Astyanax mexicanus: one gene and its partners. The protein of the gene in region 1 interacts with the protein of each later gene in a pairwise test. Links are inferred from orthologs where the notes say so. Each region holds a gene or a part of one and is shown on either strand. Other genes may lie near its edges.

The links.
Region 2: the proteins of daxx (region 1) and tcf7l2 interact in binary tests that used the Homo sapiens proteins (3 or more experiments, as listed by UniProt). The link is inferred for Astyanax mexicanus from reciprocal best matches to the Homo sapiens genes DAXX and TCF7L2.
Region 3: the proteins of daxx (region 1) and park7 interact in binary tests that used the Homo sapiens proteins (3 or more experiments, as listed by UniProt). The link is inferred for Astyanax mexicanus from reciprocal best matches to the Homo sapiens genes DAXX and PARK7.
Region 4: the proteins of daxx (region 1) and prmt1 interact in a two-hybrid assay, tested with the Homo sapiens proteins (2 studies listed by BioGRID and IntAct). The link is inferred for Astyanax mexicanus from reciprocal best matches to the Homo sapiens genes DAXX and PRMT1.

The regions. Positions count from the first base shown.
Region 1 is NC_064410.1:22,184,031-22,192,398, forward strand, and holds the start of daxx (death domain-associated protein 6), read left to right. Parts: upstream 1-5,233; 5' UTR 5,234-5,248; coding exon 5,249-5,255; intron 5,256-6,169; coding exon 6,170-6,381; intron 6,382-8,368. Other genes in the region: tapbp.1 (TAP binding protein (tapasin), tandem duplicate 1), read left to right, coding at 606-929, 1,069-1,170, 1,393-1,424, 1,539-1,550. UniProt on the Homo sapiens protein: Transcription corepressor known to repress transcriptional potential of several sumoylated transcription factors. Down-regulates basal and activated transcription.
Region 2 is NC_064422.1:31,930,721-31,938,492, forward strand, and holds the start of tcf7l2 (transcription factor 7-like 2), read right to left. Parts: upstream 3,378-7,772; 5' UTR 2,759-3,377; coding exon 2,570-2,758; intron 2,290-2,569; coding exon 2,223-2,289; intron 2,020-2,222; coding exon 1,895-2,019; intron 1-1,894. UniProt on the Homo sapiens protein: Participates in the Wnt signaling pathway and modulates MYC expression by binding to its promoter in a sequence-specific manner. Acts as a repressor in the absence of CTNNB1, and as activator in its presence.
Region 3 is NC_064431.1:4,261,804-4,269,186, forward strand, and holds the start of park7 (Parkinson disease protein 7 homolog), read right to left. Parts: upstream 3,180-7,383; 5' UTR 3,108-3,179; coding exon 3,018-3,107; intron 809-3,017; coding exon 707-808; intron 1-706. UniProt on the Homo sapiens protein: Multifunctional protein with controversial molecular function which plays an important role in cell protection against oxidative stress and cell death acting as oxidative stress sensor and redox-sensitive chaperone and protease.
Region 4 is NC_064426.1:20,248,471-20,256,486, forward strand, and holds the start of prmt1 (protein arginine N-methyltransferase 1), read left to right. Parts: upstream 1-4,793; 5' UTR 4,794-4,880; coding exon 4,881-4,949; intron 4,950-6,117; coding exon 6,118-6,213; intron 6,214-6,327; coding exon 6,328-6,483; intron 6,484-7,281; coding exon 7,282-7,345; intron 7,346-7,627; coding exon 7,628-7,770; intron 7,771-7,879; coding exon 7,880-7,967; intron 7,968-8,016. Other genes in the region: ap2a1 (AP-2 complex subunit alpha-2), read right to left, coding at 1,044-1,110. UniProt on the Homo sapiens protein: Arginine methyltransferase that methylates (mono and asymmetric dimethylation) the guanidino nitrogens of arginyl residues present in proteins such as ESR1, histone H2, H3 and H4, FMR1, ILF3, HNRNPA1, HNRNPD, NFATC2IP, SUPT5H, TAF15, EWS, HABP4, SERBP1, RBM15, FOXO1, CHTOP, MAP3K5/ASK1, MICU1 and NPRL2.

The DNA of each region.
Region 1 (8,368 bases):
TCTGGACTGATTCACTTTGTTTGGTGGCATCAAATGGGGCCTATAATTTAGGGGCCTCAAACCATGGTCTGGACTAGGGCGGTAAAAATATATAATTTATGCATCGTCATCGCAATGTGTGCATATGCAGAAGTCAGATCACAGGGCATCACATGTTTGTTTTTTTTGCTGCTTAATACAAAAGAAATATTTTTTCTTGCATTTTTAAAAACTGTTGGTATTTTCCACTACTTACCTACCAATATTAGGGATGCACTGAATAATTGGCAACCAAAATTAGGTTAAAGGACCTAATAATGTATAGTAAAATTTGACATATTTTTGAAAAGCAAGACAATAATACATTTATGTTTTGTAATTTATGCAGTGGTGGAAAATCGGCAAAATATCTGAAAACTGGTGTATTTCTACCAATATAATTTATTTATCATGCATAATCCAAAATTTTGATATAATAGGGATAAAATATAATAGGGTAAGATATAATAATATAGTATATATTTCTCCTTGCATAATCACAACTGAGTTGGTTGGCAGCATTGGAATACATAGAAAAACACATATAATTTAATTGAATTTCTATTATCAATCTCTTCCCTTTTCAGAGCCTCCGTCTCTTGGCATCTACCCATCCCCTCTTCCCATCTCCGCCCCTGGGCAGGTGGTGTCAGTGCACTGTGAGGCCTCTGGTTTTGCTCCTCTTTCTCTGGAGCTTGGCTGGGAGTTTACTGGAGCTGATGGTAAGAAGCGGTCCCTTGGACAGGGCAGTGTGTCGGGCCACAGGCAGGCATCTGATGGTACCTACAGCCAGAGCACTCGTATAGAGCTGGACTCCAGCAAGCTTGGGCTCGGACGTGGTGGTGAGGTCAGCTGCGTGGCCGATCACAAAGGAGGGTTTAGACGAGCTAGTGTGACACTGAATGTCGTTGGTGAGTGACAATGCCTTTTCGCTCATCATGCTGTCATTGCTGGGTAAAATTCTATGTGATAGTATTTGTCAGAAGCAAGATGTAATGACTTTGAATTTACTTACACATTTGTGAAATATTTTTTGTTGTTGTTTTTCAGGTGTTGGTGCTCCTTCCATAGAGGACTCTATGGCAATGGTTGCTGTAGCCCTTGTGCTTTATGGTGTAATAAAGGTGTTTTTCTGGACCTTCACATCTTCAGGTAAGCTACATTTTGTCTAAAAGTGCAAAGTGCAGTCCTTGCATGCATAATGTGTCCTACTAAAGAAGATTTAAATAGATGCTATACTGATAGAGGTTCAGGTAAAGTCAGTGTCTCTAAATACTTTTTTACTATTAACTGTGTTAGCATGCATTGTTTTTTCCATCCTTGGGGGTACTATTCAAAGCTAATTCTTTGTTTTTAATTCTCTACCAATGTCAGGGTCTTCCAAAGCACAAGAATCAGGGGATAAGGTAATTTCTGAGTTTTACACTACTTGATCTGTTTGATAATCATAAATATAGCACCCTTCATATAGCATGTATGACTGGCATGTATTAACTGGTTGTGTTTTTGTTTGTTTTTAGAAGGACAAGTAATCGCAGTGCTGAAAATGTCTTCCTGGATGTCTTGATTAGAACTTATGTTTATGCAGATGATGATAGAAGCCACAGTAAAAAAGTACACCATCTCTTTAAAATGATTATACTGATATTTTTGTGCTTGGTTCATGATCCAGATTGTGAATAAACACTGAGATAGTGTTGTGGTATTTTAAAATAATGGGAAAAGGTGTCTTTATGTCTTTTCTGAATTTTGTTTTATTTTATTTTTTTTGTTTCATTTAGACCTGTTTGGGTTTTATTGGTTGATGATTAATTAAGTAAATATATTGTAAGTTTTCTTTTCTTTTATCTTTTGAAATACCATGTCATGAATCCTCTGAAAATGACTGTATAAATTTTAATTTTTTTTTACCTGTTCATCGTTTATTTTAACCCCTGTTTGTTAATGTGTGTAAGAGCTGTGATGCACAAGTTGAAAATAAATGTGTGACTACTGGTGTATTCCAAGCTTCTGAAGTCTTACATGACTAAGTCATATGAAAACGAATTATTAAATGAATTATTATATGAATTATATGCACCCAGGGTAAATTTAAATAATTACTCTAAGTTTGTAGGCTTGTACCAAATGTCTCTTGTCACGTTTACTCAACTTCAGTATCAAAACATTTAAAAAAGTTTTACATCTAATATAGAACTAATTTTCAAATACATAGTATAAATAAATAAGCATGTTGCTCATCACCTAAGCAGTAATTGCTGACTTAAAATAAAATGTCCATTTTGTTTATTTGTTACTGTCCATCTTGGTTCTATTAACAATAGTGTATATAGCAGTAGTATGATGTAAGAGTTCTAGATTTTGGACACTGGATAAAAATCTTTTTAAAGATACTACAAGGACATCTATGCTGCTTGTCCCATTAAAAACACTGTGTTTGAAAGTGCAGCGGCACATTTTCAGCATTCTGTGTTAAAGCAGCTTCACACTGAACAGATATACGCACTGTAACACAGAATCTTCTCATGTGCCACGCATTTAACTTAAGAGTCTCTTAAATGGACAGTGTATACATTACTGAATACTGGACGTCACATATTTTACCCAGGCCATTTAAATGCTCATCCCCCATTGTGAGCATGTGTGTAATACCAAACACTTCCTGAGATTTTTAAACTACACAGAAATGTTTACAATAAAGTACACAAATTGGTTTTATCTCCCCTCAAACATACAAAAATATACTAGAAATTGACACCACTAATATACATATAATTGCATTTTATATTTCCTACATTCATTTCTTTATTTACATTTAAATATCCACTATAAAAATGTTATTCTTAAGAAGAACAAGTGCGATTAAAGACAGTTAATCCTGGAATATTGTTGTTATTAATCGAATTAAATTGTTTTGAAAGATTGACACCACTGAACTTAATACATAAAACTTTGATATGTTTTTTGCCATTCAGTTCACCTTCACTTTCATTTACTGAAGACTCACTCACAGGTGCCCCCTGGCGGTTTACAGTTATTTATAATTAAAACGAAGGAAACAGAAATAGGGGTGTCATATAAATATTGTCTATGATAATATCGTAATTGCTCCAGCATAACGTTATCGATTGTGCTAATTACTAGGGAAAACAATCAAAACACCTGTACTTCGCACATTTGCTATAGACTGATGCTGTCTTGTTTATTGGCATGGCTGAGCGCAGATACTAATCCAGCAAGCTACCTATCCAACTATCTGCTATTTACAACCACATTTTCTTTTTCTTCAACAGAGTCACTGTGCTAAAGACTCTCTCTCATTTCTCACACCCGATCTCTCACTCTCATAAGTACTTATTTAAAAAAGTCTGCCAGACCTAACCCACTGCACTGTTACTTTACTTTCTTCCACTCAAAAATATGGGCAAGTATAAATATTGATTTTAATTATGATTAATCATAGAATACTGTGGTGATTAATACATTTTTTTAGATGAGTTACACCACTGATATAAATATAATAAAATTTTGCCAATCAAATGCTAATTCGTTTAATTACATTTAAATACCTATAAAATGAGGGGTTCACTAAACCCCCGGAATTGAGCTGACTCCACCCTCGGCTCAAATTAGTAAAATGGGAGGGGTAGTTTGGGAGGGGTACTGGGTGATTTATGGGTTTAGAGGCAGGGCAGGAGGGTGAGCTGATTGGCTGAGCTGCAGCAGCAGTGTTCCTCTGATAGTGGTGAGACCCAGATGGAGCGGTATAATTAATTGTCTTATCTGCTTATTGTGATTGTTTGCATACCAAAGTACATGGAAACATCATCTTTGCCAATAGCACAGTTGAACCTGAGAGGGTACTGCAGACACGGAAATGGCCGCAATAAAAGCGCTTTTTTTTTTTTTAAGTTTTTAAGTTTTAAGGTTTATAAAAAAATAAGAATTACTTCAACTGAACACATTTCAGCTAGTAATAGAAAAATGGTTTACGGTTTAGTGCCTCTTTAAGGAAATTTGATAGGCCACATGGTTTACACACGTGCACTGTGTGATATTTGAAATAAAAAAGTAAATAAAAAAATGCCTTAAACATATTGTTTCCGTTCATATATTTAGTAAAGCAATTACATAATTATTATTATCCTTTAAGATGTGCAGGCTAGTACATTATATTACTTTTACAAACTCATTTTAAAAAATTGCAAAATATTGTTTAAATTACAGATCGTTAAAATTACAGAGATTATCGAGATATGTGTACTTTTGTTAACATCGGTCACCCATAGATAGGCAGCGTGCAGGCTTTCCGTAACAGGTGTAGAACAGGTGTTCTGTCGAGTTATGATACCCATCCATACGTGTTTCCTAAAGGCACTACGCACGCGCTTACCCACGCGTTTTGATTCTTTCTTGTGTTTTTTTTTTATATAACAAATCTTTTTTGTGCATTTTTTGCGCATGAAACCACTTGGACTCACTGTCATTGCACGAAAGTGTAAATGGAAATTGATAATAATAAATACTATAATTATTATTGTATTATTGAATTAATTATTATTATAAAAAAATACAAAAGAATTTTGAAATGAGCACTCACTGCCATATCTTTACCATGATACGGTGATTTATTCTAAATATACTAGCTACATCTACTGGGTAGATACTTCTGCTGGATACTTCTGCTTCTTTTGTATTTTTACGGTTAAAATATACGCTAGGGTAGCGCGGTTTGGCAAGGCGGCACAACTCGACAGAACACCGGCTCTGACTCCTCCGCTCCAGATGGGGCGACAGTGAGGAGCAAGTCCCGCTGAACGCGGAGGAAAACCGGCTGAAGAAAACTGGAGCAGCCAATCCCGTAGGAGCGGAGCGGCGCGGACCGAACCGCGGGGGCCCGTTGTTCACGAGTGCGCGCGGTGTTGCCATGATGGTTTTTAGGCGGAATTTTCTACAGGAATAAATACTGAATTAAGAACCTCCATCGGATAAAGCTGCGTGAAACGAGAACGCTCGTCAGGAAAGCAAGAAAAAAGAGCAGTGTTCAGTGGAGGGTCTGTGTTACTGCGCGGTTTCTGTAACTCCTCTAAGAGTCAGTTATTTTTGCTTGTCTGAAGGCGGGATTTGTCACAAAGACCTGGCAACCTAGCGAGTTGTTAAATACAGCAGAATCGAGCGCGTAAGTTGCCTTCTTGTTCCAGCGTGTTCACTATGAGTATAATGTGTGTTTATGGGTGGTGAGGACCGGCTGTATGGCTTTTAATATACCGTATAATATCCGCCAACAGTGTAGTTTACTGATTAGTTATCAACTAGGAGTAACGTTAAGTGTGAGGGTTTTAAACAGACAGGAGGTTAGCCTGCTAGCTAACTATCAGCTAGCTAACTACAACGAGGAAGCTAACTAGCTAATGGAGACACCAACGCCAGTTTAAACAGCTTCCTTTTACTATTTAGCGTTAACCTAGCGTTATAATAGAGACGTAGCTGAGGCAGTAAGTGCCACGTACTCATGTTTAGCCTAAATTACATGGTGAAGTTAATTGGCTGTCTCAGTTTATTCCCTATTATATAGTTTAAACTAGTTAGCGAAACTAGTTTAGCTGCGCGGGGCTCGTTCCTAGCTACCATTATTAGCTGTCTAGTTTTATAAGACTGAGTGAACCTTACTAAGTTAATTCTGTAACCTCAAAACGCCAAGAGTCACTAAGAGCACTTTTTATCGCTGTGTTCATCAAAATTCTAAAGGTGCAGTTATGTTATTTTGCCAAAATTTGGTAGTTAGTTGTTTAGTTAGCAAGGTTCGTTAACTAACTAAACTAGTTGGCTGTAGCTAGGTGTAACTTAAGTCTTTCTTGACGGAAATAACTATCAAGACTATTAATGTTAAACTTAAGGCACACCCTAGGTTAGCTAACTAGTTAAGGTATTTCGATCTTCTTAAAATCTAATATTATTAAGGGCTTGGGGTAATGACAGGAAAAACAGTAGCTCGGCCTTAAATGTGTTTCCAGCAGCATCAGAGTAAATTGTGTGTTAAGACTGAATATAAAAAGGAATGTATACTTTGTTTGAATCCAGTTCTAATGCTCCTATTTTTCTTACGCTGCTCAACAGTTTTCCTTACCTAACATGTCATTAACTGTGGTAGGTGTCACAAACACGATGGACAGCATTGTGATCCTCGATGATGATGAAGCCGAAGAACCTTCCACATCTACATTACGTCTTCAAAGGTTTCGAGGGTCCACTCCATCTAAAGACCAAGAGTTAAAGCCAACACACATCACACAGTCACCTTTCAGTACTGCAAAGAAGGAAGGCCATGTCCTGAAAGTAGAGAACGAGAAACTCTTTGGAGAGGTAGGTGTATGGGTTTAAGCTTGTTTTTTTGTTAAAGAATCAGACCTATAAATGTGAATTAGACATAAAAATGATTGCCACTGTTCAGTGAAACGAAACCAGTTTGAATAGGACTTATCAGTATTGAAGGTAATAAAATGTAATGACCTCAGAGCTGCTTTAATGGCCCATGGAATCTTTTCTTTTTTTCTCTTTTGTTATGTAGTTTAATTAACCTTTATCTACACCCTTGCTGTTTACATTTTAACTTTCTTAGTCTTTTGTACAGTTTTTTTTTTTTATCCAAAATGTTTGTTTAGTGCTCCTTTATAAAATTCTTATGATGAGGATTCAGCAATAATGCACAAAAGGGAGTGCTATAATGTGTTCTATTGGCCTGTTAGATCAGCACAGCGGTGCCAGTATTACATGTTCTAGCAAGAACGTGTATTATGCCAATTATACCACAGTTATGTTATCACTGTTTACTGAAAGACTGAGTTAGAGAGGATGAGAAAATATGATCTGTTTGGTTATAGACACTCAGAGTTAAAAGAGTTCCATTGCTGCTCTGTTTCTAGCTGTGCTGTTTGGCTTGTAAGCTCTGCATTGTTGCTAGGTTACCTGTATGTGGCGGAGTAATACATGGAGAGCCTCGGTGACAGTGCATTACCGGCTGATAATGGCACTCACAGAACACCTCTCAGCCCATCGCCAATAACATTGCAGGATCGGTGGTACTGTGGTACAATTCAATTTAGAGTATTGTAAACAACCCACACAATGTTTTTAATTTTCCTTTTTTAAATTTAATTAAAGTAATCTTTTTTGTTTTGTCTTTTAATACATTTAGAGACTCGATTAAGGATTTAAACACATTAAGTATATGTTTTAATTTGGAACAGCCTAGATATAAACAATAAAATAAATAATCAAATAAATTAAATCCATTAAATGAAAAAAATATGAGTAATAACATATGAAAATGCAATACTCTTAAGTAATAAAAATGTGCACCACAACAAAGTAACGATTGCAACAAAAAAGGCCTACTTTTTTGGGCTGCTATTAGGGGTTCTGTATGTTTTCGGTATTTATGGTGGAAAAAATAAAGAGGCTGGGCGTTCTGTATAGCCTCTCTTTTATTATGTTTGTGATAACAATGGAATTTCAATATAACCATGTTTTGTTTTTTGGGATGGAATGTTGTAACGGGTCTTGAGCACTTTTATTAAATGCTTGAAACCATGGTTCTCTCCTACTGTCATCAAGAGAGGCTCCAACTTTTGGATCTTGTTGGAACAAAAACAGCGTTACTTTAACTGCCTAAACTACAAATATTTTTCCTAAAGATGTTACTATAGAGAAAGAGAGATGGAGGAACCCCACAAATGAGAATGAGACAGATAACTAGTGGTTCAGAGACAGAGTGAGAGAGAGACAGTACGAGCCCCTGACCCTGCGTTCACACTGGAAAGCAACAGGCGACCATTCATTTCCTATGGCGGGGCATAATTTCAGCACAGCAATGGGTGCAACATTCCTGTGAACATTAGTTCCTTCTGTAGACTTTCTGCCTGTATCATGCAGTCTGCATGCGTTTATGCAAAATGAACTGTGACCCCGTACCATGATGGTTTACCGGGCTTAAACGGCAAAAGCTGTAGGGTAATTTACCACAGCATGACTTGGATAAAACTCGGATGTGAGAAATCCAAGAGCATGAAACCATGACAATTGAGTCCATGAAGTTTAGAATTTTAAATATTAAAGTTTACTGGAAAAATGATTTTAGCATTACAGATATAAAAAAGGAACATAAATGAATAGATACATTAGAAATTAGTAAAAGTACATCAAAAAGTCAACATATGGGCGTTGAGTGGTCCAGCGTTCTAAAGGCTCCCACTATGAGCAGGAGGTTGCCGGTTCAAACCCTCGCTCATGCAGCTTTGCTATCAAGCTGCCGGCGCTCAAAAGGGAGCAAAAATTGGTCCTGCTTCCTCTG
Region 2 (7,772 bases), on another chromosome or scaffold:
CACTTTCTGAACTAGAGCTATTTAACCACTGCCTCTAAAAACACCAGCAACAGATAACACAGATAAATACAATAACACACATTTTTGGGTTTTAAATGACTGCGCAAATTCATTACGATCATTAGGGTGTGTGTGTATGCATGTGTTTATTTATATACACCACAGTGTATGTATGCCCCGGTCATCTGCAATTGACTGGGTATTACTGTAATTGTTGTGGTATTACACTCCAGAAGACTTTCGTGCGTAAGAGAAAGCAAAGAATGGTGGCTAGAGTACAGCGTAATGTGAAAGTCGAATTTAACAAAGAAGCATCTTTTTTGGAGAAGCAGGCTGGCAATGGCCATGCACTGATAGACATTCAGCGCAGTCACACAGCAGTGAATCAATGATCCTGTGTCTCACTATTACGCACAACAGACTGCTTTTAAATTGCCACACATGCAAACATGCATTTACACTGTTTTTAACCTACATTCTAGCAACACACTTTTTTAGTCCCATGTAAATTATGCAATTATTTTAATTATTATATCTGCATGCAGTTTAAAAATTTTATTTGATATTAAATATTCCTGTGCAGTGATGAGGCATATAGCCAGTTTTGTTTCGTCTGCAATTTGTCTAAAGCTTGAAACAAGAGACGAACAGGTCTTACAGCATTGCTTTGGCATTAAAGTGATTAATAAAAATATCAGCAGTGTATTAAGAAAATTACCCCGTTAAAGCACCACTAATATCCTCTGGGAACAGGGGAATGCACTGGGAAAAAGTGTAGACATGCATAATTATATTAACGATGCTAATATTTAAAAAAAAATAAAAAAGCAAAAACAAAGTAAAATAAACTAAATAAGTAAATAGTTACATTATCAATAAATAAAACAGGTGCATTTTTGCAGACGTATGCCACATTCTAAATATGCATGTGTATTAGTAGGTTTCTTTGATCATAAAAAGGTCAATCATGTCTTGCAAAATTGCTGTCAATACAAACATTAATGTTTTATGAGGCGTGCATATTTTATGCAAATATTTACTTGCTTAAAAATATGTAAACGGTTCCTTAAAAGTGCTACTGAATATTTCACATGTTACGGTTTGGGGGATATAATGTAATGCAGTCTCAGATTCACTGAGCTGAAGGCTCCTAATTACCATTTAACAGCTCAATGTGCTCATCTCATGCTGACCATCATGTTGCCATTATGTATATGTATATATTTGTATATAGATGCATACAAAAAAATGTTTGTGTTTTTTTCATATAAATCATTTTGTTTAAAAAAAAGTAGCAAGAATGTATACAAATTATTATTTTGCATTTATATAAACAATAATAATTTAGAATGTAAAAAAACAATCATTTAAATATCAGCAACATTATGATCACATTTAAATGTGACCGATTTGTATATTATTGTTTATTATTTTTATTATTATTATTATTATTATTATTTCTAGTATTTCTGTTTTATTATTATTATTATTATTATTATTTTTATTATTATTATTTACATCGTGCGTGTTTAGCGTGTCGGGCAGCGGTTCAGGAATAAAAGTGTGTGTTTCTGATTGTTGTATTTTTATTTGTAGTTTGTGGAGCAGGCGGTGTGTGTGTGTGTATAAGAGTGTGTATGATGAGTGAGTGAGTGTGTACAGCGCCATGCCCTACAGCGGGAGCAGCACCGCTAACCTCAGCGACAACTTCCCAAACTTGTGCTGCTCCAGCAGCCCGGCTCGCTCCTCCCGCTCTGAGCTCCAGCAGCCCGGCTCGCCTTACCGCGGGCCCGCGGCGTGTCAGTAGTGCGGGGTGGGAGCGAGTGTGTGTGACTGTGACTGCGAGTGTCCACGTGTGTGTACAGAAACGGGGTACAGAAATAAAGCCACTTACTGTGCGTGCCGTCGGAGAGAGTGATCCGTTGGGGAGGTAGGGGCTCGTTAGATCGGGGATCATTATAAATGGATAGCCCGGGTACGGGGGGCTCTTGAACAGCCCTCCATCTTGCCTTTTCGCAGCTAACATGGCGGGGGGAAAAGAAGAAAACTTTCTTTTAGGCACCTTCAAATAAACTTTCCGTCTCTCTTTGTGTGTTTGTACTTTTCACAGTAAGGCTACGAGATAGGTTCTCGTGTTATGAAACACAGAGGCTAAAAGAGAGTAAAGAAGTGTGGTGTATTATTTGTGTAGTTAGAGCGGAGAAAAGAGCAGACTCACTCACCCTCCTCTAAACTTTCTCGTGTTTTGTCTCTGAAAGTTTCCGACCTAGGCGGAGGCCGTCTTTCCGCCTTCAAATGCAACCAAACACAGGGACAGCGCTTTAGAAACACGCTGGGAAAAGCGACTTTATTAGTTAGTAAAGTTAGCTAACTAACGTTACCTACGCGGCTTAGCTTTAACTAGCTAGCCGCCACCAAAAACACACACAACAACGGTTGCTAGGTTAACAGTTAAGTTAACATTAACAACAACATTAGCAGCAGAACTAGCAGAAGTGTGTGGAGGAATAATAGTAAAAATATGGAGCTCCGCTCGGATCCTCCACTACTCCACTTTTTACCCGCTTACCTCCGAGTCCGAGGAGCTGTTCTGGTTCGTCTCCGACTCGTTCACAAGAGAAGACTTGACGTCTGCTAAATCCCTTTCTGCAGAAGAGTTCTCCGAGATCTTTTCCTCCTGCTCTCCTTCGTCTTTGAACGAAATCATTTCATCGTTCGCGCCCAGATCGTCCCCTCCACCGCCGTTCAGCTGCGGCATTTTCCCGAGCAATTTTGGGGGGCGAAAAACGCAAAGTTTTTAAAGCCTTGATCTCCGCGATCCCGAATCCCAGAGTCTCTTTTTTTAAGGAGTAGTTTTCAGGGGGTCTGCCCTGGCGTTTCCCGAGCTCTGGCGGCTAGTAGAAAAACTCAAAAAAAGAAGAAGAAGAGGGGGGATCTTGGCAGGAAAAGAAGCCGGAGATGGAGCCGAGGCGCTCGGATTGAGTGAGTTGAAGTTGGTCGGAGTGGTTTTCAGTTCAAAGGCGGCGCTGATTGACAGATAGAGAGGGATGGAAATAGAGAGAGTCTGGATTCGGGATTATTGACAGGGAGAAACACACAAGAAACTAATGAGATTCAAACAGGGAGGGACTTGAAGTGACGTTTTCATAAATAGAGAGGGGCAGGAAAGTATTGGAGGGAGAGAGAGAGAGAGAGAGAGAGAGAGTGTGGGAGAGAGAGGGAGAGAGCGAGAGAGAAAAAAAGGGCTTGAGGAAACGAGCAGTCGAGAGAGAGAGAGCGAGAAAGAGAGAGAGGCTTTAGTTTGAAAAGCAGGGAAGGAAAAGGCAGCTTTGGTGAAGAGCAGCAGAGTTTAGGAGAGTCGCCCTGTTTGCTTTAGTGCTGGAATGGCGGAGCAGGCGGAAGCTGCACAGAAAAAGAGAGAGCGAGAGAGAAAGAAAAAGACTGATAGATAATAAATACACACTCAGCCAGTTTCTAAAACACACACACACGCACTTACTTACTCTCACACACACACACACGGGCGGACTCCTCATACAAAGGAATTAAATTAAATTCGCTTCCTTGTTTTTTTATTATTCCGTTTTAGGAATAAAAAAAAAACTGGGAACTCCTGATTTTAATAATGCAAAACAATGAAATGAATTTGCACACGGTTATATTCATTTATTTAATTAAAACGATACCATTATAGCTAATATATTTTTATTTTTTTTATATATGAAACAAAATACCAAAAAAACAAAATCAAGCTCAATCAATTAAAGGATTCAATAAACAGTTTTAGTTTCTAACAATTTATATCCACAAAATCGTTTTAATTTAGATCATTCAAATTGAATTCCTATTTTGTTATATGTAAATGTTTTTTTTATAAGTATAAAAACAGCAGGTTTCTGAAGGGGTGATGCAGGTAAAGGCATAGAGGCTAGTGCGTGTGTGCTCCTGTTCTATACTGAGCGTGTGGAAAGAGAAGGGGCCGGCAGTGTCCAGATAGACTAATGAGGGCTACCTGCATTCAGGATGAATAAAAGAATAAGGGTCTGGATTCTCTGTGCCCAGCAAAATTGCTTTTTTTCTTGCCAAAAATGTGTTTTAAAAAGTATGTAAATATAAATCATATATAAATGCAGTTGTTCTGTTTTTTTCTTTATTTGTCTCTGTTACATACTGTAGAAAATATCCATAGAATGTCTATAGAATGTCTATATCCATAGAATATCTAACAAATTTGATTAATTGAATTACTGTATTAATGTGATTTTCAAAAAAGGATAATGGAAATTGTACATCTTAAAATATATAAGCTGCTACATGGAATCATAGTACATAAACATTTGCTTCAGTCCGAAACATGTAAAATGTTACATAATTTACACTTGTTCTTAACTAAAATAAAAGGATGTTATGTTTTCACCATGTTTAAAATAAAAGCTGTATGTAAGATTGAAGGGGGTTACTTACTATTTGTAAAATAAATAAATAAAATGTAAAGGATACAATGGCTTGGCCATCAATTTAAATGGTGCGCATATATTCGAAAAATATCAAGATTATTTTGTTTTTACAATATCGCCCAACCCTACTAGACAGTAAATGATTCTAAGCACTTATACAAAATAAAATATGTTTAAATTACATAATACATCGACATCTAAGCCACAAATTAATTAGAACCAACACAACACTATTTGCAAATATTATTTAAAATCATTGTCATTTTTAATCTTTGCCGATTCCATATTTGTTGCATGCTCGCTCTGCCCTATTGCTTGTTGACCCAATCCTTATTGTATTTTGCAAATATAATTCACTCAAACAGAACATTTATCTTTTATGTAATACAGTCAGCACCTCCTACTCGGAGAACCTGTGTCCAGTTTGCTCGAAAGCAACACTGGACTCATCTACACAAACAATAGCAGTCATATGGGCATTAGAGGGCCACAAAGACAGGTTTAACTCCCACTTAATTTGGAGCAGTGTATCATTTCCATTTCTGCCCTTTGGATTGCTCTATGGAGTAATTACCCTGTACCAGCCAACGCTCTTCCAGATCCACAGCAATATGCTATAACAGCCTGTATATACACAGCAATTACGCCTACAGGAGCAGAACAATTGTGCCGCACAATGCATGTGATATTATATAGGTGTTACATCAACACTGTTATATATACACAGTACATTGTTGTATGTATTTGTATTGTGATTGCTTATATAAATACGTAACACCTTTAATTTTGATACAATAAAAAGTATGGGATTTTAGATTGTATTAACAAATAAAACTAGGTTATGTATGCAAGTATAGACACACAAATAAATAAATAAATATCTATATATATATATATATATATATATATATATATATATATATATATATACAGTATCAAGTATTTTACCATTGTTATAAGAAACAAGGAAACATCCCTAAGGAAACAACCCTAAACTTGTATAAATCCTACGCATATTGGAATATAATAATATTCGATTCCAAATTATCACATTTTATATGAGGTAAAAATAAGCAATTAAGTAAAAATAATACAGAACAAAAAAATACAATCTAAAAATAGAGAGAGAGAGAAAGATATATATGGCTTTGATGTGACAGGAATTAGTCACATAATTGTGACACAGTAATTGCATATATCATAAGTATCATAAGTAAACAAAACACACACACACACACACACACACATGACACTTCTCTTGCTTGTTTACTGAAGCAGCATGCTTCGTTTTTCTTGTTTTAATTATGCACCTTCAGCTGTGATAAAAGCCTGAGCCAGAATGGACAGATAAGGCTCAGTGCTCAATGTGTACAGTCAGCAGCAGCAGAAAGATGCTCTCTTGCTTTTTAGCTCAGAAATCTGGAGCCTGCAGATACCAGACCAAAGCAGTGGAGCTCCTAGCCAGCATCTGCCTGGATTGCCTCCACAGGTTACTGAGAGTTCACTCAGATTGGGTGCGTAGTGTCAGCCTTGTGAAGCCAAACCTTTTGCTTTCAGTTGGGCTGAATCTAAACCCGTGGCCATCTCCCAGGTTAGACCTCTGTTAAGCTTTATCTGGATGCCTTTCTGTCTGGAATATGTTCTTAGCACTGGTCCAGCCAGCACTTGAAATTAAAATCTTAATTTTTCTGTTCGACCCCAGGCAAAAAGACTGGCCACTCAGACTTTGATTTTAGCACAGCTGTCCGAATGTCCCCACACACACTGCTCAGAAAACTGGGATGGCACCTGCTGAGCCCTGGTCGCTGGAGTGGGTATTGCAGGAGAGCAGCATAAATCAAGCCAGTATGCAAACAGTTAATTACCCACAATGCCTGCACCTTCCCATACTGCCTGAAAAAGTTCTGTTCTTAATTAGCACATTATGGGTGCTGTTAATGGTCTTCCCGCTTGTTTTCATAGTAACAATATGTGCATTTTAGAAGGCTGTTTAATAGCAACACCAGCCTGATTTATGCCAGATACCCTTTAAGCCAGATGAATAAAACAGTATAAAGTTTTCTGGCTTTCACAAGTGGAACTTGGCATTTAACCTTTTCGCATGTAGTCAATTGCAAATTTCCCTATTGTGAAAGAGGCTCCACTAAGCATTTTAGCATTCTGCCCCAGAAGGGTTCAGATAAATTATATCTGGCGACTAATGCCCTGCATATCTACAGTAATGTTCTCCTAATAGCTTGTTACATTGGGTGTGTGGGGGACAGTAATAGAGCAAATCAGTTTAGCTTTATGTGGTTATGCAAAATTCCTTTTATGATGTGTTTTAAAAGCAAATACAAACCAGAAGCAAGCTAATTTCAGAACCACTTTGAAATCATGTAATTACCATTCTGTTCATTTGTTATTTTGACTAGATTACAGACAATATGGCAGTTCTGATGGCTTCCTTCATATAAATATATTTAACAGAAAGAAAGTTAAAGTTAAAAATGAAAAACAATATGCTTTCCTAGCATCCATTTCTTTCTTAAGGCTATGTCAAACTAATCCGATTTAGAGTTCAGTATGTAAATAATGTTACAAAGATTTTAAACACACTGTTAAGCCTTCAGTCTATGTATCATCATATCTCTCTACCAGCAACCTTACAGGAGAAAGAAAAAAAATCTATGTAAAAAAAATATTCCGTGTTATTTAAAGAATTTATATTGGTTCATTCATTATACAATTTTATACAATGTAAAAACAGTGGTCAGATTCAAATGATTTCAAAAAGTAGACAAAATTGGAAATACATGTTTTTTTCTTTTAAGCATATGAGACTTAAAAATACAGAAAAATACAGCCTGTCTAGAGAAAAGAGGTTTGATTATCATATATAAATTGAAATTTCCACAGTTTTTCTTTACATATGTACATAATAAACATTCTTCAGGAAACAAATGCATTAGAAATTGATAGAATTAAACTTAACGAGGTGGCACAGCCTTGCATCATGTCTAAAGTGTAAATTGACATTCTGAGGTTACATCCAGGGCACTCTACCTCTCTAGACATTCGGTCCGGCCAAGCCTACGTGCCTCGCCCCTGCTGTGTCCAGAACAGTGTATGGTGGGAAATGTATGAAGGAGAGCAGGAAAGCTGCCTCTGTTTTCCAAAACAAACAGCATGCTTTTTCAGACATGGATGTGATGGTCATTAATCAGGGGGCGTTTGGCCAGTAGCAGTATAAACATGTAGCACCTGAGCTGCTGCATCTTAACGGTGAGTGTGTGTCAATGTCTGTGTGTGTGTGTCTGTGTGTATTCATGGCCC
Region 3 (7,383 bases), on another chromosome or scaffold:
AATATCGCCAACATTTTTGAACATTGTGAATGATAGTATACCCTGAAATATCGCACCATATCACTCACCCCTAATTATCACATCATGGTACTACTTTTTGCTGTTTTATCAAAAAAAATAAAGAAATAAATAACTGTTCTCTTTTAACATTATATATCTACAAGAAACAGATTATATCTGTCCAGTATAATTTATTTTACTTTAGTCCTGGATATATGGAGATATATTTGGAGTGCATTTTTAGTACATTAACATTCTGGATCATTGTGTTCTGTTACATATTTGATAAAATTCTCAGTTTAAATCTCAGTTAGGGGTGTGCCATAGCATATGCATTAATACAATAATTTTTTAATTTTGTTTCAGTGGTGTATTCTTGAAACATTTTATTTTTTTTAACGCAGTGTTTTGTTATATCACCAGGAGTATCGTTATCGTGAAAATACCATGAAATATCGCGATATTATTTTAGGACCATATCACCCACCACTAGTTACCCTTATAAATGCTTCTGATCATTTTGAATCGTCATTTCACATTAAACCACTGCAAGTTAATTTTTTGTTTACAGCTATGTGATCCACTTATATAGAGGTATTAAAAAGAGTGAAATTCCATTTGAAAATCTCAAACATTATCATTAGTAAATGCAATACTGTCCAGAGTACAGTACAATGGATTACAATGGAATTTAAGAAATTCGTACCTGTTTAGAGGCTTCCTCTAGACTTGAATCTGGGCAGATAAGGACGTCCCGGCTGCACTGGACTGGTTCCTTCCCTGTTAATCCTGCCACTGTAACAGCAATCTGTGAGACAGTAAAAGAGGTAGAAGCATAAACATATTTATATATATATAACAGTGAACAGTATTTTGTCATGCCTCAATAACCGTGACTTCAGAGAGTGCACAGTTGTAGCGCAGAAAAAGGGCAAAAGGGTCTAAAAGTTGCCGTAATTAAGGAGTTTAATATTAAGAGACATCATGAAATGAAAGAACAATTTGAAAAATCTTAGTTTACACAACACTGTCAAAGATAGATAAAGATAGTAAGTCAAGTAAAATGGTGTGTAAATGAAAGTAATCAGGAAAATTTATTATTTAAAGTGGTATATTTCATTATTTGTTTTATTACAGAGTCTGTGGCCTGTGACTTCACATATATTTCTCCTTCTGGCCCCCAACAAAAAAAGTTTGGACACCCCTGTATTAAATGATTAATTCAAATTGTGTTGTCTTTAAAAAGTGTATAATTGCTTTTTTTATGCTATTCTGTTATGTCAGGGGCATTTAATAGTCTTAAAATTACAAAAATATCGTGTAGCGCAATAATTTCTGTGAATTCTTATCGTGACCGGCCTATTTGTAATTTTAAATTGTGTTGAACGCAAGTGCTTTGTGAGACTGATCCTCTTATATAATATCTATCTGCCCATGGACTGCAAATGACAATTAGCCAATTAATGTGTATTGTCTTTGATACTTAAATAATACAGTAAAATTAAAGTAAACACTGAGTGTCAAGTGCAAAGCCTTTCTGGATGCATGGAACTGCAGAAAAGTTTGTGTCAAAGACTGTTAATATCCTTGATTAATACCCTGAAGAGCCCTTCATGCTTATTTATATGTAGTTTAATGAAGGAGGCTAAGTTGCACTGTAAATGAAAGCCTATCTCACCATGACAGCAGCAGCAGCAAACTTTGACATTTAGCTACACTCCACTCCTCTTCCACACTCTGCCAACTGTCCAGAGTACATACAGTCAGTCTGTGAGCCAGAAACTGACAGACATGGGTCTGTTTTTGTGACCTGATACATTTTATATTGGACACACGCTTGTCTTTCTTCTAGTATCTAGGTTAAGATGGTCTATGCTGGCATTTGATGGTCAAAATGGTTGAAATACGGTTGATCCAGTCTAAAATACACTCTATTATGGTAAGCAAATTGGTTAAACAGCATTGTCTATGCAGTAAGCACTATTTGATTTCTTATGGACATACTTGGGCTTCATGTTGGCATTCAGGTTGACCAGCTAGGTCTTCAAATAACAGGGGTGTAACAATGCATCGCAATGGAAAAAGAAAATATTATGTGCATCACAGGAACAGACGATTCCTTGTTCTGTTACTATGAAATCTCATGCAGTTGCATTGACTGAACACCTCTGGTGCAGGCCAGAGAGCCAGTGGGCGTAAGCAAAGGGCAGAGGACATGTCAATCATTTTAGACTGAAGCCAATCACAAAGCCAGAATTGGTTAGTCAATGATTATTATTGCTATGCCATGCCGTCCACTCTTTTAAAAAAGGTGGAACATTTGATGTGGGCACAGCTTTGCACAGTCAGGTTTATGAGATAGAGTCACCTGGAATTTAGGCTTTTAAGTAAAGTTAACAGCTGTTTAAGTAATGTTCTAATTCATATTATGAGAAGCAGGAACTACTCAACTAAGAAAAGACTTGCTTAAAAATGGCTTCAAGAAGAAATGAAGGTAAGTCAATTTGAAATATTTCAAGAACTTATTCTCAAGAAAATATCCTCAAGTGCAGTCGTTGCAAAGACTATTAAAAATGTTATGATGATGGAAGTGGCACTCATCAGGACCATCCCAGGAAAGGAATAGCAAGAGTTAATCAGAGTTACCAGCCTGAGAAACTGCAAGTTAACAGCTACCTTAATAATAAATAGTCCAGCCAAATGCTTCACAGAGTATTTTGGTTTGTGGAAATGTTCCGTTCCACCTTAAATGGTGTTACGTTCTGGGTTAAATGGTGAACGTAACCGCTTCACCATTTAAGGTGGAACGGGAAAAAATCCTATACAAAGCCTTTATTTATGTTTATCACTTTTGACACAATCCAAATATTTTTATTAAAGCTTATTCACTTATATTGCACTTAAATAATCAGTTTAAATATTCTTGCAGTGGCTATTCCCCACTTGTGTTAGCACCCAGTGCTATTAGACAGCCCTGACAGCTAAGCTAAGCTAAGCTAAGCTAAGCTTCTACTAACCCCAGCTCTCCGCATCACATCTACAGGTATAACCGTCTCCATCTCCTCTGCGCCCTTCGACAGAATCACCAGAGCCCGTTTAGCAGCCATGCTTCAGCAGAGCAGTCTCCCCTACAGAGAACAGAGCAAAGAAGTGGGCTGAAGCTTCTCTAAACAAAATAAAAGTCCTGTCTTCCGGGAGAATGGAAAAACACATGGGCAAGACAAAAGTCCCTCAGATGTTTGAGGTTAATAGTAGAAATTAGGCCCAATATTCTACTATACAAATGCTAGTTAATACGGGTTTTAAACAATATTTATCATGTCCTAATACTCCCAACGTTAAAAAAAAAACTATAAAATTGTAACAGCAGTACAATAACCCTGTTAATGACCTTATATATAAAAGATTCAAAATTCAGACGGGCTCCTGTACTTTTTGCTCTGGAGAGACAGAATCTATACATTTATTTGTTAAATGTTATTATAGTAAGCTATTTTGGTCTGACATCCGTAGTTGGTTGTCGATTAAAATGACTGATATACCTAATTTGACGTATAATGACATAATTTATCATATGGCAACTTGAATGGAGACATTTCAGATTCAGTTTACTCTATACATAATTTCGCCATTTTTTTTCAAGTCACTAGAACATTTTAAGAAATTATTTTGCTTTTTTTTTATTTGACGAGTGCTTTCTTAATTATTATTATTATTATTATTATTATTATTATTATTATTATTATTATTATTATTATTATTATTATTATTATTATTATAGGTTAATTTAAAGGTTGTAACATATATATATTATTTCTCTTTTAATACAGGGAAGATGAGTCCTGTGGTTTATTTCCGACCACCAGACCACCAAAAATCTGACCACCAGAGTGCAGTGCAGGCTATGATATAAAACAGGTCCTGCTTTCAAATCAGTTCTAAATGAATTGGCAGTATTTAAAACTGTGGTTTATGAACTGTAGGCTTACTGTTTAGTTAACTTTAAGATTTAAATCAATCAGTAAATCACATTATGATGAAATTCTTATGAACTTCTTCTAATTATTTTTAGATCCTTGGAGAGCCTTGACATTTAAAATAAGGCATTAATACCTTGAAAAGTTGAAAAAAGTGCACAAGAAGCCCAAAAAAACACTGTATACATCGCATAATGCTAGCTTCAGCTCCGAGCGCTGCCATCACTGTACTGATAATGACAGACATATATATACATATACTCTGCATAGCGTAGCAGCCGGTTCCAGGAGGCAGGCTATGAATGTATATATATATATATATACTACAGTGATGGCAGCACTCTGAGCTGCTTCTTGTGCACTTTTTAATTATTAATGCCACATTTTAAATGTTAGGGCTTTCCGGATTCTACCAAGGAGGTATAGAGCCGAAATATGCCCCGATACGGCTCTTGTACAGAGTGCTGGAAACTGTAGGAAGCTGTAGGAGAGCGGTGGTGGGCAGTGGGAGTTCTCCTTTAAAGTACAATAGAGTATCTTTCAGTGAGGTCTTTTTTGTACATGTTTTTTTTATACCAGTAAAGATTAGAGTGCTGGGGAAAAGCACAAAATTACCAGCGCTCAGAAAGCTGTAGGAGAGCGGTGGTGGTTTATCATGTTTTACTACACCTAAAGTCAATTTTACACTGGAGTTCTCCTTTAATATAAGGTACAGCCCCATCGACAAGCTTTTAAGTGCAAATCTGTACTTATTTTTCTTAGTGTGAATGTGTATATCGGATACCTATAGTGCTTTATACCGAATATGCCGATACATGCAACATCACAAAAACAGTAAATTTAGACACAATTAGCACTCAATCATATAAATAAAAAAATATATATAATATTCATCCAGTATTTCTGAATGTTCAAAAAGAAACTTCCTCACTCCTTCTCTCTGTAAAATTGTAGAGGCACCTTTCCCATGTTTAGCATGGCTCTGCACGCTTCACACACACACACACACACACACAGACAGACAGATGCTCAGTCGCCCATATAGGCACCAGACCACAGTGCTATACAGCAGCAGATTAGACCGAAGCGTGGGGTTCTGGCAGCGGCCTGCTCACACTGTGCCCGTGCCCAAATCCAGCAGGCAGCAGCGATTTACCAGCATATGCAGCTGGGATCTCTGCGAGCCCACCGCGCCGCTCCACATCAGCTCATTTCCCTAAACATAGGCTTTATTTATTTATTTCTGCCCCCTCCACCCCACCCTGCCTTTATATAAGGAGCTTATAGTATGCAAAACGCCTATTAAAGTTGCTTGTAAACCAGGTAACCTGTGAAGGCCCCGGATTAGGCTGCGAAACACTGACGATGCAAATTCACCCGCTGAACCATCTGCGCAGGACGGCGGCGTGGAATTAGCCACAGCAGATGCATCCACCACGTACACTCAACTTTGTCTTGGCTGCTGCGGCGCTGGTTATGATGCACAGGCACTTTCCAAGGCCAAGCAGAGACAGTAGTGAGCATCTGAAATGAGTTTCAGGTTTTTTTTTTTTACTAGTGAGGCCTACCTGTATTTAGTACAGTATGTATTTTACCAATTTCACAACTTCCTCCTACTGGTGTTGTCTCGATACAAAAATATGACTTCTGATTGGATACCTGCTAAAACCAACAGGGTTTTGGAATGGTACATGTTTATACTTCTCATCCAACCACAATCAGATTCACTATACAAAAACATACTTAAAAAATATGTTCATGACCTGGCTGCCCTGTGGAGATGGCAAAATCCTACATATATAAAATTGTATCAAAAACTGTAGAAAATATATAAATAACTTCTGATTATGTGGAGATTACCATTCCTCTATATTTGTAATAATGTGCTCATGTGCTGTTCATTTGCATCCCTGGACACTTGGCACTTTACTGTACACTCTGTACCTTTTCACTCCTGGACACTTTACTGTACATCTTGTACATTTGCACCCCTGGACACTTTGTCACTTTACTGTACATCCTGTACTTTTGCACTCCTGGACACTACACTACGCACCTTACTTAAATTCAATACTTGCACAGGTTTATGTTTAATATTGTCATATCTGCTGATACCTTCTATACTTAAATTATTATTTTACTGCACTACCTCATATCTATGACTGATTACTTTCACACTTTGTATAGTTTTTTTGTATTTATATATTTATGTATATATTTTTAAGTCTCAGTTTATAATTTTATAGTTTAGAGTCTTATATTCCTCACTGTGCTCTTTTATTTTATTTTATAATACTTATTGTTTGTTTCTACTGTGTACTGTTTGTTTCGACTGTGTTGTGTAACTGCTACTGGCTGCTAAATTTCCTTCGGGATCAATAAAGTATCTATCTATCTATCTATCTATCTATCTATCTATCTATCTATCTATCTATCTATCTATCTATCTATCTATCTATCTATCTATCTATCTATCTATCTATCTATCTATCTATCAATCATTCAGAGTCAAAGTTTTAAATTCTGAAAAAGGTAGTGTTACACAGTGTTTGTATGAAATTTAAACAATTATGCTAAGATAAAAAAGGCACATTATATTGATATTGACCCTGATATACAGTGTGGTGAAAGCTTGTATTGTTACTGTTGCACATGTAGTTAGCACAATGCTAAAGTGGTGCCTCAAAGCAGACATGTATACAATAGTAAAGACCCAGATCTGAGTAAAAAAAGTGTTCGATCAAAGAAGTTAAAGAGCTCTTTAAGCAACCACAACTAAGTGGAAGTACCTTTAAGTATACTGTAGAAAGTATATTTTTTTGTACTAAAGTATTCTAAAATGTACGAATAGTACTGTAGTACTGAATGTGAAAGTACAGTAATGTGTTATGTAGTTATTACAGAAAGTCAAATGTTTAAATATCATATTGCAGACAGACAGCAGCTTATAAGATCATGGCTTGATTCGCTCAGCTATGTAGATACAGATACATAATTTTAGTACTTAAGTACAGTAGTGAAGTAAAAATAATACTCCAGTAGATACAGATACAGTATTTAAGTACTTAAGTACAGTAGTGAAGTAAAAATAATACTCCAGTAGATACAGATACAGCATTCTAGTACTTAAGTACACAGTAGTGAAGTAAAAATAATACTCCAGTAGATACAGATACATCATTTTAGTAATTAAGTACAGTAGTGAAGCAAAAATAATACTCCAGTAGTTACAGATACAGCATTTTAGTACTTAAGTACACAGTAGTGAAGTAAAAATAATAGTTCAGTAGATACAGATAGAGCATTTTAGTAATTAAGTACAGTAGTGTAGTAAAAATAATACTCCAGTAGATACAGATACAGCATTTTAGTACTTAAGTACATAGTAGTAAAGTAAAAATAATAC
Region 4 (8,016 bases), on another chromosome or scaffold:
TGTGGAAGATAATTTTCAGGATGTAACTTTCTAGCTAGCTTGTTTGCCTATTCCACACCAAGCAGGGCATTCAAATATCATATCAAGCACGTCCAAAGCAGTGTAGGTAGAACTCTCGTGGAGCAATGACCCCTTGTTACACGCTCATCCCAAAATCAGATCAGGGTTAAACCTAAACCATTACGCTAAATTAAAACACTATGAAACTTCATAATAACGCATGGCTACTTTTGGATTATAAACAGCTTATGAAGTTGCTATGTTTGTATCCTGCCTCCAAAAGAAGCCTACGTGCCTCTGCAAACTGTGGAGGATCATTTCCAGGATGTACTCCACACTGAGCAGGGCCTTTCATGTCATATCAGACAACATATCAAGAACATCCATTGCAATGTTGGTGGAACCCACATGAAGCGACCCCCCCCCCCCCCCCTTACCTGCCCATCCCACAAGAGAGACTTGGGTTAGACAAGACCCGGTCTCCACTACAAGACTGACTGACTGACCTCTTTAGGCTTGGCTTATTTAGGCAAAGACAAATTAATAACAGATGCTACGTGTAACTGTTGGATCTCTAGAGGAATCTGGGGTTTATCGTAGAGGCCTAACTACGTTACCTACATGTCTCTGCAAACTGTGGAAGATCATTTCCAGGATGTAGCTAGCTAGTTAGCCTAATCCACAGTGAGCAGGGCCTTCAAATATCATATATCATATCAAGCACATCCAAAGCAGTGTAACCTGAGTGGACGCACACTAAATCAACGACCTCTCCTTAGCTAGGTTAACTCGTTAGCTTTCCAGATAGCTACTTTAGACTTAACTAGCTCACCTAGATAGCGCTAGCTAGTTAGCTAGCTTATCTACACATCCTACAAGGGAGACCCGCGTTGGACCAAAACCAGCTCCCTAACCTTCACCATTAGCTAACTATTTAACAGCTGTAAATTATCCTTATGCTTCGTTTTTTTTAAGCATAAACACCCTCTATATTAGCTATAGGCCTATAAACAGTCACTCTTAATAGTATAAATGGCACTTACAGTTTCTTATGTCCGATATGAAGACCGCTAATCCTCGCATTCCGTCTCCTTTCGACACAGCCGGCATCTTTGCAGGATTTTGTTGTTTCTTCTCACCTTACACGAAAAATAAACCACTTTTTGTCGACCTACGACGGTTTAGCTCACCTCGCTTTCCACAAAATACGCTCGTTTCGTAGCACAGCACCACTGAGCTACCTAACTAGCTAGAGCTATGTTAGCCGAGAAGCTAGCTAAAGCTAACGTTAACTAACCCGTACTCTGGCGCTTTTGATGGATGTTTAATGTGCTAGAGAGTTAGCCACCTAGCTAACGATAGCTGCTAACACAGTTGTGTGAAAGCTGAAATAACCAGACCTGAAAGTCAAAGTGTCTACAACCTATCTCTCTTTCTGCCTGTGTGCTTCTTTATTCAAAATATGTATCTGTCAATTCATAAGCGAGAAACCCGCTGCGCTCCGACCGCCGCCGTTTAAATTCATTCAAACCCAACAGTCCAAAATTTAACTACTGGCCCAAACGACGACAGGACTGAGTCACTTGGTGTGTAAAACCAAATTTACAGCGGGTCGTTTTCCTATAACACACTGTAGATGAGTGGATGTCCTACACAACATAAACAGCCACCGGGAGAGGGAGGAAAGCGATTAAAAAATAAAATATTTGATCTCCTTTCTGCTCGCTGTGAGTCACGGCACGGCGAGCTAGCGGACCAGCTAGCTGGCAGGCTAGCGCTATCAAACGTTAGAATACATCACCCGGAATGACCAGCGCGGTCGGAGACGGTCAAACCTAACGTTTTTTTCGGCGAACAATCTTATATTTAGCTGGAAAAACACAAATATGTAGTCTAGAATTCGGTTCGAGGTCGTCGGTTTCGTGCCTGCCGCGCCAGGTCGGTGTTCACGGACGAGGCTCGTGACAGAACGAACGAATAGCGATGTCCGACTCGGGAAAGAATCGGTTCATTTGCAAATAAATCCATTGAACCGAATCAGAGTGAATTAATCCTTACTGTGGCAGCCTATATAATGTTTACTTTAGTGTTCAAAACTAAGTTATCATTATGTTAGAAGTATATTTATACTTTTATTTAGTTTCTTGCACTCAGTGATACTCGTAGGTTCCAGAACCACGATTCTCATCAAGAAGAAGAGACGAAGATGCATGATAAATAAATAAAGACAATATTATATTGTGTTGTTGTTGTTATTCATTGCATGCATAAGGAAATTAAATACATGTTGTCTGCTCCCTGGTTTATTAATCGTGCACAGCATGCACTAGAAAAAAACACTGTGTTTTTTTCCACACAGTAAAATTGTGGTAAAAAAATGTGTGTTGTATATGATGCAATTTGTTTAAAACTATTAAAATCTACATGTAATTGCATTACTTAATTATTTTATGTTTATAACGTGTACTTTTTAAATATCTGCAACTTCTCAGTTTTTTTATTTTATTTTATTTTATTATTATTTAGATTATCTATTATTTTATTATTTATTAATACATTATTTGCAATCTTATTTTATCTATGTGTACGAATATCGTTTTATGATTCATGCAGCTGTATTTTGATTTTTGCCACAATGTAAACAAAAAAAGCAAGCTAATAATTGCGGGACCTCTCCCACCCTAAAAACGAGAATGAGTCACTGAATCGGGCAATTCGAAAGAATCGGTTCGGTAAACTGAATCAAAGTTCGTCTACACTCCAGCAGTATCAGTAGTAAAGGATTCTAGTGCTTCCTCTCGAGAAGCTCCGCCCCCCTGCTACCACAGCACACGCTGATTGGCTGGTAATAGTTTGTAATGCCGTTATGAAAACATTAATAGCTCGTTTAAATTGAATCTGGATCAGTAAAACTTGCTTTGTTTCTACATTAAATATATTTATTTTATATATGATATAATCAAATAGTCTAGCGGAAAATAAGCGTATTTGAGTTATTTGATATGGTTCAAATGAAAGGAACCATCTCTAAGAGCTCATTTACAGAAAGTTAACGGATTTTGGTATGCTGTCTGATGTCTGACACACTGGTTTACCACAGTTTTGATCATAGATTTGTCAATATTATATAAAAAAAATAGATTTTTAGCATGTTATCCTTGAACATCTGTTTTTCTGGCTCTCTGGGAACATTAACCTCAGTGTACTGCACACTGCAATAAACCATCCTGACGTACTGTGCCACCACACCGTGGACTTTATTATGGAAGATTAATGTCACTTGCTATGAAGTATCATAAATATGATCATTACGCAATACCCACTGCCCTGTGTGGAAAGTCAATTGCTCCCTTTGCTGTATACTTTACACCATCCTCAACACCAATCATTGCAACTACACTCTATCTGACATCATTGATCAGCTTTTTACTCTGCGATGGAGGGAGATAGCTGCTTATTTCAGGCCCTGTCACAGTAACTGCAATGCAGTGCTGTCATTTTACAACAATATCAAATCAATATCAATAGCACAATAAAATATTTAATGCAGTATTACAGTAGAAACACAAACAACCATTTTTAGTAACTGAGTAACTGTCTCTATTGTCCAGGGATGGCTTATTCTATTGGCAAAACTTTTCTACAGGGACTAGATAAGCTGTGTGTGTACTTTTCTCTTTTTGTTCCAGCAATGGGTGCAACTTAAAGTAATTGAATGCATTAATTAGAGAAGATGTTTACAAAAAGTGAATACGTAGTTTTGTGAGTTTTGTAAGTTAAAAAGCACTTATATACATGTCAGTGATAAACGTTATATGCTGCTACTGCCTGTGTAAAAAACGATGAATCATCTAACAATTAGGAATTTACACAAAAGGAATATTTCTTTTTAGATTTACTCAAGAGCGCCCTCTAGCGTTTTCCAAGGGTGCGTCCCAATTGCGAACTGCATAATAATAATATAGGTATGTACTATATACTGGTCCTAATAGTGTGAGTTTTGCAGGTTAGCACACAAAAATATTAATAAATAAACCCGTTTTTACTGGCAGTGAAGTCATAAGGCACTTTTTAAAAATAATTTATGTTTTTCCTTTTTTGGCAGATTTTTTAGTATACTCAACTTTTATCTATACTACACACTAAATACCCCAAAACTAGTTACTACTAGTAGGTACGCAATTGGAACACAACTCATGTCTTACTGGCCAGAATGGACACAAATATTAGGGAAAGTATTATTTGCCTTTTTTTTGTTCATTCTAATCAAAATTATACAATTTTTTTTATCAAATGATAAGCAATAATTACAACCCATGACTAGATCAAAACATTTGAAAAGAATTCATATTAATTGATTGATAGTGAAATTAAGTTTACATACAAAATAAGTTCATCTGGCATGATTATGTCAGACATAGTACTGCTGCTACTGTATGATATTGAATGTATAAACTGACTGTATCTATTATTAATATCCTTCCAAAAAACAAGGCACGTTCAAATGAGAATAAAAGCTATCGGGGGTGGGGCAACATGAAAGCTGTCCAATCACAACTCTTCAGTGGATTTAAAACCTGGACTGGTCAGGATTTACATGAAAAGCGAAAATACTGCAGGAACTGGGGCTGGAATCGCAAACAATCCCGAATCACGGCGTTGATGGCTTCACACTGAGCCAATAGCGACAGGGTTTATCAGAAAGGGCGTTACAATGGGTGGGGTCACGTTACAGCGGCCCAATTACCGATATGATGACTGGATTTAGAGCCAATGGGGACTGGATTTAGAGGAAAAGGCGTAGTTTGGGAGGTACTTCATCGCAGCAGTCCAATCAGAGAGCCGGAGTATGTGGGCGGGAGTCTAAAGGGGAGCGTTTAATGTTCCGCGCTGCAGCTGCGAGTCCAAAACTTGTCGGCGAAATGGCGGAGACGACGGACAGGATGGAGGTGAGCTGGAGCCGCGTAACAAAGACGGGCAGGGGGAGACCGCGGTTCATGTGGGAGAAATCCCAGCGCGCTTAGGGGCCGTGTTTGTTCGGTAGAGGCTGTGTGGCGGAGCCGCTGACCCGCTTATTTCGCTAATTAGCTCGTTGCGTAGTGACCTGAGCTCTCGGTAATGTGCGTATAGGAGCATCCATTTTAGCAGCACATCGCTCCCCATTCATTTCCACTAACACGTGGTTGCTAATCTGCTAACACACAGTACCGCCGTGGGGTTATGGCGTCTGTTAAACATTCCGTTTGTTTTATCTACTGCTCCGTTTGTATTTATTAATGAATCACTATTCTGTCTATAGTTATTTAGCTAGGTTAGCTGTGCTGCTAATAGAGAACGCATGGGATTGGCTAGCTGGGTATCTACCTAGGTTAGCATGTTAGCCAACTTAGCTAGTTAGCTTAGATCGGGTAGCTAACGCCGCCGCCTCGTTGTTTCTACATGTGTTAACCAAAGTGATATTAGAAGTTGGAGCTTTTTTTGGTTAGTTTTGAAGTAGTAAAGCTTATCTACTGAGATTTAGCCACTGACCATAACTAGTAACCTTTTTTAGCTATAGAAGCTAAAGGTGGCCTCTCGCGAATTCCCCGGTCCACCTTAAATGGCACCGCAGCTGCTACAGATGGAGCTAGCGGCGCCAGAATGTAACTTCTGTACTTTTTAAGGTGGAACTGAGAATTTAAATTTTAAGGACATATTTTTTATCTACATGGCCTTACCCCTTTACTGTAAAAGGTACAAAAATGATTTCTTAGGATCGTTTCCCTTTCAGAGGCTCGAGTACAGTACGGTTTATTGTAGGACCAGGCCTCATTTATTTTACATACCACGTGTGCTGGTCTGTTAGTGATAAAAGCCTTTGTCTGCCCCCCTTTTTCCTGTGAACTTCTCCAGTCCGCCACCCATTGTGGGGTGTTAAATTTAAGAATTTAAGTGTGTTTTTTTTTTTTTTTTTAAGTTTTGATTCCATTTAAAATTATTTTGGGGGCCTTAAGTGTTCTTTTATGTTCTTTTTATCTTGCGAAATTCCACAAAAACACAATTTACTTAAAACTCCAGGCTGAAACTCTTTTGGCTTTTGTTTTAAATGTAGTATTTATTTAATCCTTTGTTCTCCAGGTGTCCCAGGGAGAGAGCTCAGAGAAGCCTGCGGCTGAAGACATGACGTCCAAGGACTACTACTTTGATTCCTATGCTCACTTTGGCATCCACGAGGTTGGTACTCTTGTTGTTATACCCCTGTATTCAATACTGTACAGTATTTAATAGTTTAGACTTAATTTCCTACCTTACGACCTGTTTTCTAATGCTTTTATTTGGTGTTTACAGGAGATGCTTAAAGATGAAGTGCGAACTCTCACATACAGAAACTCCATGTTTCACAACAAGCATCTGTTCAAAGATAAGGTGGTGTTGGATGTGGGCAGTGGAACTGGCATCCTGTGTATGTTTGCAGCTAAGGCTGGTGCCAAGAAGGTTATTGGGGTAAGTAGACATTCTTGTTGTGCAAGTCAATAATGTAACATAATTAGAAGTGTGTCTAAAGGAACCTGTAAGTAACTGTGCTGTGTGGTTTGACCAAATATGTATACAAAAGTATACACAATATACAAAAGTCCCACCTCATTAACAGAAAATGTGCATGCACACCATAGTCTTTAAAGAGATACACAAACAACTTTTAACCCTGCTTCCATTACAAAACTAAACTTTAGTTTTATACACTATAAATGGACTAAAAATACTCAATTTTGAAGTATTTAAAACATTGATTTTTTTTAAAAGCTCTTGCATGAGTAAGATAAGTTTAAGTTAAAATGTTTTTATTGAAGCCATTGGAGGTGTTACAGTATTGAAATCAGCCACAGTTCCCTCCTTGCTCCAGTTAAACAAATTAAGTCCAGTGTATTAAAATGAACGTTTAAGCCATAATATATTTAAGAGCTATAGGGTTTTCCTTGTGTCCTGAGTTTTAGGGAGTTTAATGACCCCACACTCAGGACCAAATCTGGGCTCGTCTGGGGAACGAGAAGCATGTTTGTACGAGCACATTGTATTAAATTCCTCTCTGGTATACTGTATGAACCTGTATGCTGCCCAACACTAATATAACAGTTACCTTTGAGTGTCTGCATTGAAAACCAGTTTTAAACACATGTAATGTTTGAGCCTGGTTTATTGGGACACAAATCCGCTGCTTGTGTGAAATCAACTTTCACTGCTGTTTCTGTTAAAGTTACTAAATGGACAAGTTGTGTTCTAACATTTGTGTCTATTTTCTAGATTGAGTGCAGCAGCATATCTGACTACGCTGTGAAGATTGTCAAGGCCAATAAGCTAGATCATAGTAAGTGTATTTCTATTTTGGTGGTTCTGCATATGTCATATAAGAGACAGTAAAAAAATTGTTACTGATTGCTCTGTTAGTGCAGTTTACCAGGCCAGCATGTCAGTTTTAAATTAGTTCATAGTGTTCATATTTTACACAAACTACAAGGTGTGTAATTGAACCAAGGGCAGGACGTGTTTTTTTTTTTTTTTTTTTTTAAGGATTTCATTATAGATGTCTGCTTTAGATACACAAAGTTGCGGTGACTGTTTGATTCTCATGAATGTGTTCTCTGTTCAGTTGTGACCATTATCAAGGGCAAGGTGGAGGAGGTGGAGCTTCCAGTGGAGCATGTAGACATCATTATCTCTGAGTGGATGGGCTACTGTCTCTTCTACGAGTCCATGCTCAACACTGTGATCTATGCCAGAGACAAGTGGCTGGTAAGCGTTCAAAAACCCGCTTCACAATCTTTGTGTATGTGTAGGATATTTTGGGTGTATTTGTGCAGGAAGCTAAATTAAGTGTTAATATTTGTTTTCTTGCACACAGAAACCTGACGGGCTGATCTTCCCTGACAGAGCCACTCTTTACGTCACAGCTATTGAGGATAGGCAGTACAAGGATTACAAAATCCACTGTAAGTTCTTTTTTTTGTTTGTTTTTTCTCTATTCGCTATGCCAAATTA